Linked DNA regions of Danio rerio. The protein of the gene in region 2 purifies or fractionates together with the protein of the main gene of each other region. This does not show direct contact. Links are inferred from orthologs where the notes say so. Each region holds a gene or a part of one and is shown on either strand. Other genes may lie near its edges.

Region 1 (4,125 bases), on a different chromosome or scaffold from region 2:
TAGAAAAAAAAAACATTTTACAAGTAACTTTTATTATAAATAATTTAATATTTTCTTGTTTTGAAATGGCTAAATTCTGACTGAGGAAGGTTGAATGTGCTGGCCAGTTTATTTGTCTCATAAATGACAATAAGCTACAGTTTTTAATGTAAAACTTTAACAGATTCCTTTTTTTTCTAATGATATATGATGTAATAAATTTATAATTTTAAAAAATAAGTATTTTATCACATTTATTTATTCTAAATCTTTAGGAAATATTTGGTACATCAAAAAGTGTGGTTATAATGACCACCATCCAACAAGTGAATTCAGCTAAAAATTAGTGCTTAAAATGTCACTAAAATGCAGTATTTAAATTTAATAACTACATTGAAAGTTACTGCAAAAAGGTCTATGTTTGAAAAAAAAAAAAAAAAAGAACCACTAACTTCACCAGGCTACAGGCCTGTATCTATCTAAATGAAAAAAAAAAAATCCCAGCCCAACGATTTGCGTCTGACAATTACGTAACCTCTGTTTCCATGTGAAATGCAAATTCACATCCTTCACAAGAGTTTAAACCAATTCAAAGTTAGTTGTTATTCGACTGACACGTAATTTATCCTATCAGAGTGCTGTATTGTAGTGACTGGGCGGAACAAATACTGTCACGTAGGACAAAGGAATGAACATCACGCTTGTAAACTACTAAGGATACTGTTTCTCTAGTGCCTGGAGCAGACTGATCTGAGGGAGGATGAATAATCGGCTTCATAATAATTACTCACGCTCCCTTGTTCTGTTGTCATCTTGCTAAATATACTTTATGTGGTTCATTTGACCCGAGGAAGTAAATAGGGGTTACATATTGAAAATCCAATAAGCGTTCAGGTAACCGTGCTTAAACATAGAACATTTTTAAATATCCATGAAGGTAAACTCCACTGAGGTTTTAAGGTATTTTGTGACTGCGAAACGTGCATGAATAGTCAATGAATGCTATGCTAGTGTCTGATTGGTTTTCTGTTGTCGAACTCGTTGACATATTCAATCAACCATCGTTTACTGTTAACTTTTTGAGGTTAAAATAATACTGAAATTAGGGCCAAAGAGTAAAAGCGGTACAGACACATTGTTTAAAGTAGCATTAACCCGGAATTCTAAAATAAACCATCATAAGCTCTTCTGTAATAGCTTAACTTGAAGAATGGTGTGATACCTGCATCACCTGAGCGCTGGGTACACACTGTGCGTCATGCGTAAAGGGCGGGACTTGTGAGATCTCCCAAACAGAACAGTTACACACAGTAGCTTTGAACGACGCCGGACACACGGCAAACATCAAGCAGGGACGTACTTACAAAGAGCAATTTTAGTCCCGTTTGAACTTGTATTTAAACATGTCTTTGGGTGACCAGCAGTGGTATCCCACCAGCGTTCAGGTAACCGTGCTCAAAGCACGAAACTTACGTATCAAGGGCAAAAATGGAACGAACGACGCCTATGCCATCATGCAGGTGGGCAAGGACAAGTTTTCCACCTCGGTAGCGGAGAAATGCGTCTCACCGGAATGGAAGGAGGAAGCGACGTTCGACTTGCCGCTGGTACATCAGGGGGACGTGGAACGATGCACGCTGTACATCATCGCCATGCACCGTGCCCTGGTGGGGCTAGACAAGTTTTTGGGGCAGGCTGTCATCAATTTAGTGGACCTCCACGCCAACAGATCACGCAAGAAAACCGAGTGAGTGCCGTTCTGTCTTATACGGAAATAATGTAGATATGACATTATCTGAGTGTCATAAAATATGCCACTGACTCAAAAGTTTAATTAATAAACTGCCGATGAGTTAACCATAGCTAGTTTTGGTCTATGATTCTGCATGGAAAAGTTTTAATACTCCGCCCTTTTAGCACGGCATATTATTATTAGGGGGTCAAGCGCGTAGCGCTGAAACCCTATTGTATTTGTTAGGATTTTTATTATTATTATTATTCTGCCGAAGTCACTATTGCCCAGGCCAAACCGTAAGGCCGAGAGAGCTGAAACTTGGCCAGAAGGTAGTACCCCGGTACACTACGTTCTCACCAAAGATCAGCCAAATCGGACCATAGGTGGCGCTATGGCGCCAAAAACCCACTTTTTGGACATTTTTGGCCGTTATTTGTTTACCGTTTGTCGTAGACTCAAAAACTTTACATATTTTGAATCCTTGGGTTAACCCGAACAAAAGTGCACAGCTGCACTTTTTGCTCTACGGCGCACCGTTTTCCCGCTACATCGCAATTTGTCCGAAACCTATTTTTGCGAACTAGTCCTAGGTTTTTCACTCAATCTAAACCAAACCAGCTCTCAAATGTTCTCTAGACACTGAATATCAATAATTATCAAAAAAAAGTTGACATTTTTATTCTCACTCGAAACAGTACACAACAATGTTCAATGCTAATTGAAGCTAAATGCTAATTGTGGCTATAACTTTTGAACGGAATGAGATATCATCACCAAACTTGGTACACACATGTATAAGCTCAATTTCAGGTCACAGTGCAAAAACAGTAGACTTTGGCCACACTGTGGCGCTATAAAGCTTAAAAACCATAAAATGACTCTAACCTTACAACCGTTAGTCCGATCAACTTGAAATTTGGCATGCAGTGTCTTTGATCAGTTTGCCATGAATCATTATAAGGACATTGGCACATCTCAAAAAACATGGCCGCCATTAGCCAATAAATATTGAGCAGCCATTTAACAAGGTTAACGATCAGTGATCGTAACGAAACTCGCTGGGCATGTTCGACTCACTGTCCTAGAGGTCTGTAAGAATTTTGAAAGAAATCGGCCACTAGGGGGCGATTTTACACAATTTTAAGGTGTAATGAGTTGTGTATCACACAACCTTTTGCAAAACCACAGAAAATACATATCATATGATAGGCCTGCTTATACCGAACAGTTTGACACTAAAATCACTGCTGTCACTCGCACTGTTCATTAAATATTCATCAACATATGAAAAACCTACTTTTGCGAACTAGTCCCTGGTTTTTCACTCAATCGCAACGAAACCAGTGTTGGTGGAATCTCTGGACTGTGTAGATCAATAATTATCAAAAAAAAGTTGAACTTTTTACTTTGGCTAGCTGTAACAGGCTAATTTACAAAAGGGGCGTGTCCACACGGACCTACATGCCTGTAAACCAATAAGGAAAACTCACAACATCACAGAAATTGGTGAGCACATGTGCCATATCAATGAGAAGAAACTTGCAAAATTTTGTGAAGATCAAACCATAGGTGGCGCTATAATAGCAAAAATAGTCTTAAAAACATGCCAAATGGCTTAAAAATAAAGTAAATGTGCTTCATTTAAACACTATTTCACAAATACACTTAATCTACATATCATGTGATAGGTCTGCTCATACCGAACAGTTTGACACTAAAGCCACTGCTGTCACTCACACCGTTCATTAAAAAACCATCAATATAAACAAAACATACTTTTGCGAACTAGTCCCTGGTTTTTAGCTCAATCACAACGAAACCAGTGTTAAATGAACCTCTGGACTGAGTAGATCAATAATTATCAAAAAAATGTTGAACTTTCCATTTTAGATAGCTGTAACAGGCTCATTTACAAAAGGGGCGTGTCTACACGAACCTACATGCCTGTAAACCAATAAGAAAAACCCAAAACATCACAGAAATTAATGAGCACATGTGGCATATCAATGCGAATTAACATGCAAAATTTTGTGGTGATCGGGCAATAGGTGGCGCTATAATAGTAGAAATGGTTCTAAAAACATCATAAAATGGCTTAAAAATGCAGTAAATGTGCTTCATATACACACCTATCACTGAAATGATGTACAAGTTAATTTTTCTTGCCCATATTGGATGTTTAAATGTCTTAAAAACACATATTTTCAATATTCTATCATTTTAGCCACTATAACACAGACTTTTAACTGTCACTTACCATTTCTAACCACTAGATGTCACAACAAGACCACTTATTTATTGTTCATAACATTTGCATACCTTTGTTGTTTTACATCTTTTTGATTTGAAATCAGGGAAATTGCATTTAGGATCATTCTGAATCATATTTTGACCTGATATAAACACTGCTA
Region 2 (4,316 bases):
TTTAAAAAACATTTTAAGGTCAATAATATTATTATAAAGCTATAGTTCTGAGTTATAAAGTCATAATTCTGCATTATAAAGTCATAATTCAGAGATATAAAGTCACAATTCTGATATATAAAGTCATAATTCAGAGATATAAAGTCACAATTCTGATATATAAAGTCATAATTCAGAGATGTAGTCATAATTCTGCATTATAAAGTCATAATTCTGCATTATATAGTCATAATTCTGCATTATAAAGTCATAATTCAGAGATGTAAAGTCATAATTCTGCATTATAAAGTCATAATTCTGCATTATAAAGTCATACTTCTGAGATATAGTCATAATTCTGCATTATAAAGTCATAATTCTGCATTATAGTCATAATTCTGCATTATAAAGTCATAATTCTGCAATATAAAGTCATAATTCTGCATTATAGTCATAATTCTGCATTATAAAGTCATAATTCTGCAATATAAAGTCATAATTCTGCATTATAGTCATAATTCTGCATTATAAATTCATAATTCTGCAAAATAGTCATAATTCTGAGATATAAAGTCATAATTTTGCATCATAAAGTCATAATTCTGATATATAAAATCATAATTCTACATAATGAAGTCATAATTCTGAGATATAAAGTCATAATTCTGCATTATAAAGTCATAATTCTGCATTATAGTCCTAATTCTGCATTATAAAGTCATAATTCTGCATTATAGTCATAATTCTGCATTATAAAGTCATAATTCTGCATTATAGTCATAATTCTGCATTATAAAGTCATAATTCTGAGATATAAAGTCATAATTCTGAGATATAAATTCATAATTCTGCATTATAAAGTCATAATTCTGCATTATAGTCACCATTCTGAGATATAAAGTCAAAACACAGAGATATAAATTCATAGATCTGAGATATAAAGTCAGAATTCTGCGTTATAAAGTCATAATTTTTCCTAATAAAGTCAGAATTCTGAAATATAAAGTCCAAATTCTGAAATATGAAGTCAGAAAATCACTTCATAACTCATAATTCTCACTTAATAACTCAGGATTGCGAGTTTGTTCCAGACATGTGATAAAAAGTTACAATAGCTTATAAAAACAGGAACAGATTTCTAAAGAATAATATTGCTGATCTGAGAGCAGTGTGTGAGCACTGAAAAAACTGATTTATGATTTGCTAATTTTTTTTAAGGTAAGGTCTTTGCAAACAATTATAAGGGCTGAAGTTAACAAACTAATTAAATTATGTTCAACTTAGTTTATTTGTTTACATTTAGCCCTTATAAATAGTTTGCAACCACTTATTAAAAATATTGTGAATCCAATGAATCATTTTTGTCCTAATGTGGCGCCCCCTACCGGCCGCTGTGGTTCTATTCAGCGGGACTCCTCCCCAATGCAGCCCGAGCAGATCGCTCTTCCTGCGGTGTGACAGCAGCAGCGGCGGCGGCGGCGGTGGCGCATTGTACGCTTTTATCCTTTATTTGACTCTTTTCTTTCTACACTGAGCTAATCAACACAAACTCATCTGATCATCTCCTTCTGGAAGAACTGCAGGACGCGGCGGCTTGTCTAAAATGGCCAACAGAGACGATGAATACGATTTCTTGTTCAAAGGTAAATTCTGCATACAGTCAGAATCATTCATAATCCATCTATTGTTGCTACTGTAGCATGTGTCTGACACAGATCGGAGCCTGTTGGGGAATAGGCACTGTTGAGGAAGCGTCTTTTGCAATGGCATCCTGTGTAAAATGATGCCACACACATATACAAATAACAGTGTTTGACATAGAAACGCCCGCAGAGGCATCAATACCTCAATACTCATGTATCGATCTGTAAAACATCTGCTTGGATGCCTTTACACCGGCTAGAAGGGATACAGCTGCGACCGGAAGTTAACGAGAATTATTTATTTTGTTTATTAAATTACTGATTGAATTTCATTGTGTTAACGTCTACCCCTGAACCCAACCCTCACGACAATGTAAAACAGTAATTATAACTAGAATTATTTATAATACCTATTTAATTTGTCATTAAATATTAGCATTTACTCCTAACCCTCACACTAATGTAAATACAGTAGTTATAACGAGAATTATTCATATTGTTTATTAAATTACTCATTTTAATGTATTGTGTTTACGTCTACCCCTGAACCCAACCCTCACGACAATGTAAAAACAGTAAATATAACGAGAAGTATTCATATTACCTATTAAATTAGTCATTAAATATTATTTAATTAGCATTTACCCCTAACCCTCACACTAATGTAAATACAGTAGTTATCATGAGAATTGTTCATATTATTTATTAAATTACTCATTAAATAGTATTTTATTAACATCTACCGCTTAACCTAAACATCACAGAAATATCAAAGCAGTAAATATAACAATTATTTATGAAATTACTCATTAAAATGTATTTTGTTAACGTCTACCTCTATCCAAACCCCAAAACTAACCCTCATATTAGTGTAAAAGCAGTTATTAAAAAAATGAGAATTATTCATATTATTTATTAATTTACTCATTAATTAGTATTTTATTAACGTCTACCCCTAAACACAGCCCTCACATTAATGTAAAAACAGTAAATATAACGAGAATTGCGTATATTATTTATTAATTTACTCATTAAATTGTATTTTATTAACATTTACCCCCAAACCCAGGCCTTACACTAATGTAAAACATTAAATATGACGAGAATTATCCATATTATTTATTAATTTACTCATTAAATTGTATTTTATTAGTGCCTACCCATAAACCTACCTCTCACACCAATGTAAAAACAGTAAATATAACAAGAATTATTTATTAAATTACCCATTAAAATGTATTTTATTAACATCTACCTCTACCCAAACCCCAAAACTAACCCTCATACTAATGTAAAAGCAGTTATTAAAATGAGAATTATTTATATTATTTATTAATTTACTCATTAAATATTTTAATAACGTCTACCCCTAAACACAGCCCTCACATTAATATAAAACCAGTAAATATAACAAGAATTATTTATAATATTCATTAAATTACCCATAAATAGTATTTTATTAACTTCTACCTCAAAACCCAAGCCTCATACTAATGTAAAAACAGTAATTATAACTAGAATTATATATATTATTTATTAAATTATCCATTAAATAGCATTTAGTTAACATCTACCCCAAAACCCAACCCTCACACTAATGTAAAAACAGTAAATATAATGAGAATTATTCATATTATTTATTAATTTACTCATTAAAATGTATTTTATTAGTATTTACCCCCAAACCCAACCCTCACTTCAATGTAAAAAACAGTAAATATAAGGAAAATATTCATATTATTTATTAAATTATCAAATAAATTGTGTTTTATTAACATCTACCCCTTAACCCAACCTTAACAGTAATGTAAAAACAGTAATTAAAGCAAGTATTATTCATATAATTTATTAATTTACCCTTTATTTGTATTGACGTCTGCTTCCCCAATGCTAAACACAGACCTCACACTAATGTAACAACAGTGTTTATGATGATAATTATTCCTAATATTTATTAAATTATCCATTAAATAGCTTTTAATTAACATCTACCCCAAAACCCAACCCTCACACTAATGTAAAAACAGTAAATATAATGAGAATTATTCATATTACTTATTAAATCATCCATTAAATAGCATTTAATTAACATCTACCCCAAAACCCAACCCTCACACTAATGTAAAAACAGTAAATATAATGAGAATTATTCATATTACTTATTAAATCATCCATTAAATAGCATTTAATTAACATCCACCCCTGAACCCAACCCCCACACTAATGTAAAAACAGTAAATATAATGAGAATTATTTATATTATTTATTAAATTACTCGTTAAAATGTCTTTAATTAATGTCTACCCCTACCCAAACCCCAAAACTAACCCTCATACTAATGTAAAAGCAGTTATTAAAATGAGAATCATTTATATTATTTATTAATTTACTCATTAAATAGTATTTTATTAGTATTTACCCCTAAACCCAACCCTCACGCTAATGTAAAAATAGTAAATATTACAAGAATTATTTATATTATTAATTAATTTACTCATTAAATAGTTTTTTATTTACATCTTCCTCTAAACCTTCCTCTCACATTAATTTAAATACAGTAATTGTAACAAGAACTATTCATATTATTTAATAAATTACTCATTAAAATGTATTTTATTAGCATAAGCCAAAACCCAACCCTCACAGTAATATAAAAACAGTAAATATAACGAGAATTATCCATATTATTTATTT
Region 3 (3,659 bases), on a different chromosome or scaffold from region 2:
TTCCAAAAGTTTCAATTTTTTTTTTATTTGATAGTTTCATATTTTTTATGAACAGCACTTTTTCGACAATTAGGACACAATGAACGGATAACATAAACATAGCTGTGCTTACATCAACAAATTCACTGGTTAGTTTAAAGGCTGATGTCTCGAAGCCTAGGTTTCGTGGAGAGCTGGAAAGGATGAAGCCAAAATCGATGTGAATGATGTGGCCTTCAGAGTCCAGCAAGATATTTCCGTTGTGCCTGAAAACCAGAGAAAAACAATGCTGTTTATAACAGCTTATCCAAATCATTCAGTTCCTGTTCAAGCATGATTTTACTGGCCGTGGTTTCTCTCACCGGTCTTTGACCTGCAGCAGATAGCAGATGAGACAATATCCTGCGCAGCTCTGAACAAAGTTGCGCTGAGCTGTAAGGAATTCTTCTGTGTTGAAGTTGCCGTGTTCTTGCCGGAAGTAATCGAGCAGTAAAAGCTGACTCTGTTTCTTTACCTGGTGAATGGACACAGCATTGACCACTGGTTCAATCATGCCACTGTCTGAAGAGATGACCAAGATCTTGTAGGGTTTGATCCATAAGGGAACCCGCTCCTGCTCCCAGATAATCTGGAAAACAAAGAAATGTTTAGATCATCCAGTAGATCTACAATGTCTGAGCACAAAAACTTGTAAAAATACTGACCATTAAAAAGTTTGGAATGAATTCTGCAGGAAAGTGGTCAACATTTTATTCAACAATGAAGCATTAACTTGATTAAATGTAATAGTGGCTACATCCGAAACTGCCTACTACTCAGTAGGTATTGCATTTAAATTTAAATGAATGGAACTCGGACGTACAACATCCACCATTTTGTCACATCATGTGACCTACCCACATCAGTTGCGTCGCTTTACTCCCATTCATGAATTCTCTCGCGGTGCATCATGGGATAGCATGGCATCTATCTGATGCACACTTCAGAATCTTGTCGGAAGTTAGGGTTGGGCAATGTCTAATGTGAAACATCGCGATGGACGATGACATCGTCATCATAGGTGGCGGTGAATTAATTATTTATGAATAATTAATTAATGATTTGTAGCCTACCATTTCAACTACCTGAACCACATGGTCTTTGTTTTACCCAAAAGTCATAAATTAAGATAAGTTACACACAAATTACCACCTGTCCATCACTTTTTCCACAGGACTCTGGCATGAATAGACAGAGTGATCTGTGTCATTATAATGTCGTCGACAAATTTGGTTGGTAAAAAAGGTGCACAACCAACAGTTTCTGAGGTTTTCGCTAAAATTACAAAGTACAAGCATGAAAGCGAACGAAGATTAGTTAAATCTCAGGTTTAATAACTATTGCGAGACGCCATCCAGCAGTACATCATTGAATAACTGTCCAACAAGCACTGAACTCTAGGGTTTTGTGATTAAAGCATCCCATACTGACTGCGTGGAGCTCTGATGTGCGCATGCCAGAGTGTGTATAAGTGTGTGGCCACGTGATGCGTGTTTTCAGCGGTAAAGTGTGGATGGAGAGCTGTTTAGATATGCTAGGTAAAAGACAGTGTGGACGTGGTTTGTTTTCATTCTAAAATGCCATTTTAAACTAAGACATATTAGTGTAAACAGGGCCTGAGTGTGTATTTTTGCAAGCAGGTTGCTGCTGTGATGGGGGCCGGGTGAAGGATTGCGATGCGGGCACTTGGAGTTGGACGATGACATCGTCTATTGACCCAATCCTACCGGACGTAGTAGGTCAACCGGGTACTTCTCGCTCACTGTATATCTAATTCTATGAATTCGGTCATACTACTCGGCTTGCATACTGTTTTTAGCGTACTATATAGTATGAAAGTATGCAATTTCAGATACAGCCAGTATGTTTTTTAAAATCTAAAAATAAATGTATCAATAATTTCCACAAAACAAATAAAATTATTAAATCAGCAACTCAACTGCTGCACAACTTAAGTTTTTTGTTTTATTTAATTTTTTCTGATGGATCATATAATCAATGAAAAAAATTTCAGCACTTCCACAACAGAAATACAATACATTTTAGAATGGAAATGATTAAATTGTAAAAACAATTTCTGTTTTTATTAAATATGTTCGGCATTTGTGAGCATAAAACATCAATAAAACATCTGAGTGAACCAAAACTTCTGAAGCATAAATGTTTTAAACTCATTATATAAATGAATCTTAGATTAAATCTTAACAATTGGACTCTGGTAAAACTAAACTGATAAAACTGCAAACTTTACTAATGGTTATAACCACTTTTGTTTAAAGAATAAAATAAAAATCTAAAATTCTGTCAAATATGTATTATTAAAAAATTATTAATTAATTGAAATGCCTTAAAGCAAGGGTGTTAAAGTCAGTTCCTGGAGGGCCGCAGCCTTGCACAGTTTAGTTCCAGCCCTGCTCCAACACGCTTACCTGTAGGTTTCAAACAAGCCTGAATGACTGAATTAGTTGGATCAGGTGTGTTTAATAAGGGTTGGAACTAAACTGTGTTGAGCTGTGGAACTGACTTTGACGCCTGTGGTTTAAAGCATGAACAAGTAGATTTTATTTCAACACAATTTAAAAAAGGGAAAGTAAGCGAGCACAATAAAACACTAGCAGTGATATATACATTTTGTATATTTTAAAATCCAATCCCAAATTGTAAGACAAAATTTAAGGAGTGCAACCTGCAGTTGTTTCAGCACTTGATAGGCGAGAAGCTCCTGTCTTAGGTCATCGCCACATTTCACAATTACAGAAAGTAGACGCCAGTTGGGCAGGTGGCCATAGGGGGAGCCCTCCCTGATCCGCCTATTCAAAAGCACAGGACAAATGAAATCAAACACAACTAATGAACCAATAAACAACCGATCCTTTCAGAGAAAGACATGCACATACCTCACTTTCTCCTGCCATGGCTCCTTTAAGGCTACAGCTGAAGGATCCTCTGGGTCCTTCCTAAATGTGGTCGGCGTGTGGGCGAGTTGCTCAGACAGGCGTCGTCTAAAATACAAAAACATTAGTTATAAAAGTATTGTCTTTCTTATTGTTCACCGTTATGATTAAGATTCATTCACACAAAGCACAAGAATAAATTAAACAATAAATTAAAATGCTAAAATGCTAAATTAAACAATAAATATATTTGTGTCCACACTGAATGATAAAAACCTGTTTATTTTTAGTCTATGCTTTTTATTCGGCATTACCCCCTTGTAACCAGCAGATGTCTTCAGTGCGCATCTAACCAGTGAATCTGTATTTAAAAATTGATTCATCTAATTAAACACATGTAGCACTCGTGGTCAGTGAAGTGAAATAAAAACATCGAGCTATTTTCCCTAGCATTTTCAAAGGAGTCAACAAAAAGATCCTGAAACTAGCATCTACAATTACTGAAACTAAAATTAGCCTGGCTTGCAAAACTTCAATGTCTTTTTTTCATTCTTAAGCATGGTACAACCGACTGTTTTCTAGATAGTCATTATCTTTAAATGATCTTTGAAAAAAAGGCTTAACGTCCAGCTGAGCTTCTCCACAATGTTGTCTGGATCTTTAAATTGTGGAAGCCCTTTATATTTCTATGAATTCTGACTGACTGTCAGTGTTTTATCATTTATTAGTGGAGAAAAAAAAATTCTG

What was found.
Region 1: the proteins of rab11bb (region 2) and rab11fip1a purify together in Homo sapiens (affinity purification with mass spectrometry; 3 studies listed by BioGRID and IntAct, counting the BioPlex papers as one, with this or other methods). This does not show direct contact. The link is inferred for Danio rerio from reciprocal best matches to the Homo sapiens genes RAB11B and RAB11FIP1.
Region 3: the proteins of rab11bb (region 2) and pi4kb purify together in Homo sapiens (co-immunoprecipitation; 3 studies listed by BioGRID and IntAct, with this or other methods). This does not show direct contact. The link is inferred for Danio rerio from reciprocal best matches to the Homo sapiens genes RAB11B and PI4KB.

The regions. Positions count from the first base shown.
Region 1 is NC_133183.1:44,911,003-44,915,127, reverse strand, and holds the start of rab11fip1a (uncharacterized protein rab11fip1a), read left to right. Parts: upstream 1-1,273; 5' UTR 1,274-1,382; coding exon 1,383-1,726; intron 1,727-4,125. UniProt on the Homo sapiens protein: A Rab11 effector protein involved in the endosomal recycling process. Also involved in controlling membrane trafficking along the phagocytic pathway and in phagocytosis. Interaction with RAB14 may function in the process of neurite formation.
Region 2 is NC_133177.1:59,786,427-59,790,742, forward strand, and holds the start of rab11bb (RAB11B, member RAS oncogene family, b), read left to right. Parts: upstream 1-1,378; 5' UTR 1,379-1,582; coding exon 1,583-1,622; intron 1,623-4,316. UniProt on the Homo sapiens protein: The small GTPases Rab are key regulators of intracellular membrane trafficking, from the formation of transport vesicles to their fusion with membranes.
Region 3 is NC_133191.1:42,595,927-42,599,585, reverse strand, and holds part of pi4kb (phosphatidylinositol 4-kinase beta), read right to left. Parts: intron 3,021-3,659; coding exon 2,916-3,020; intron 2,829-2,915; coding exon 2,705-2,828; intron 608-2,704; coding exon 342-607; intron 246-341; coding exon 113-245; intron 1-112. UniProt on the Homo sapiens protein: Phosphorylates phosphatidylinositol (PI) in the first committed step in the production of the second messenger inositol-1,4,5,-trisphosphate (PIP). May regulate Golgi disintegration/reorganization during mitosis, possibly via its phosphorylation.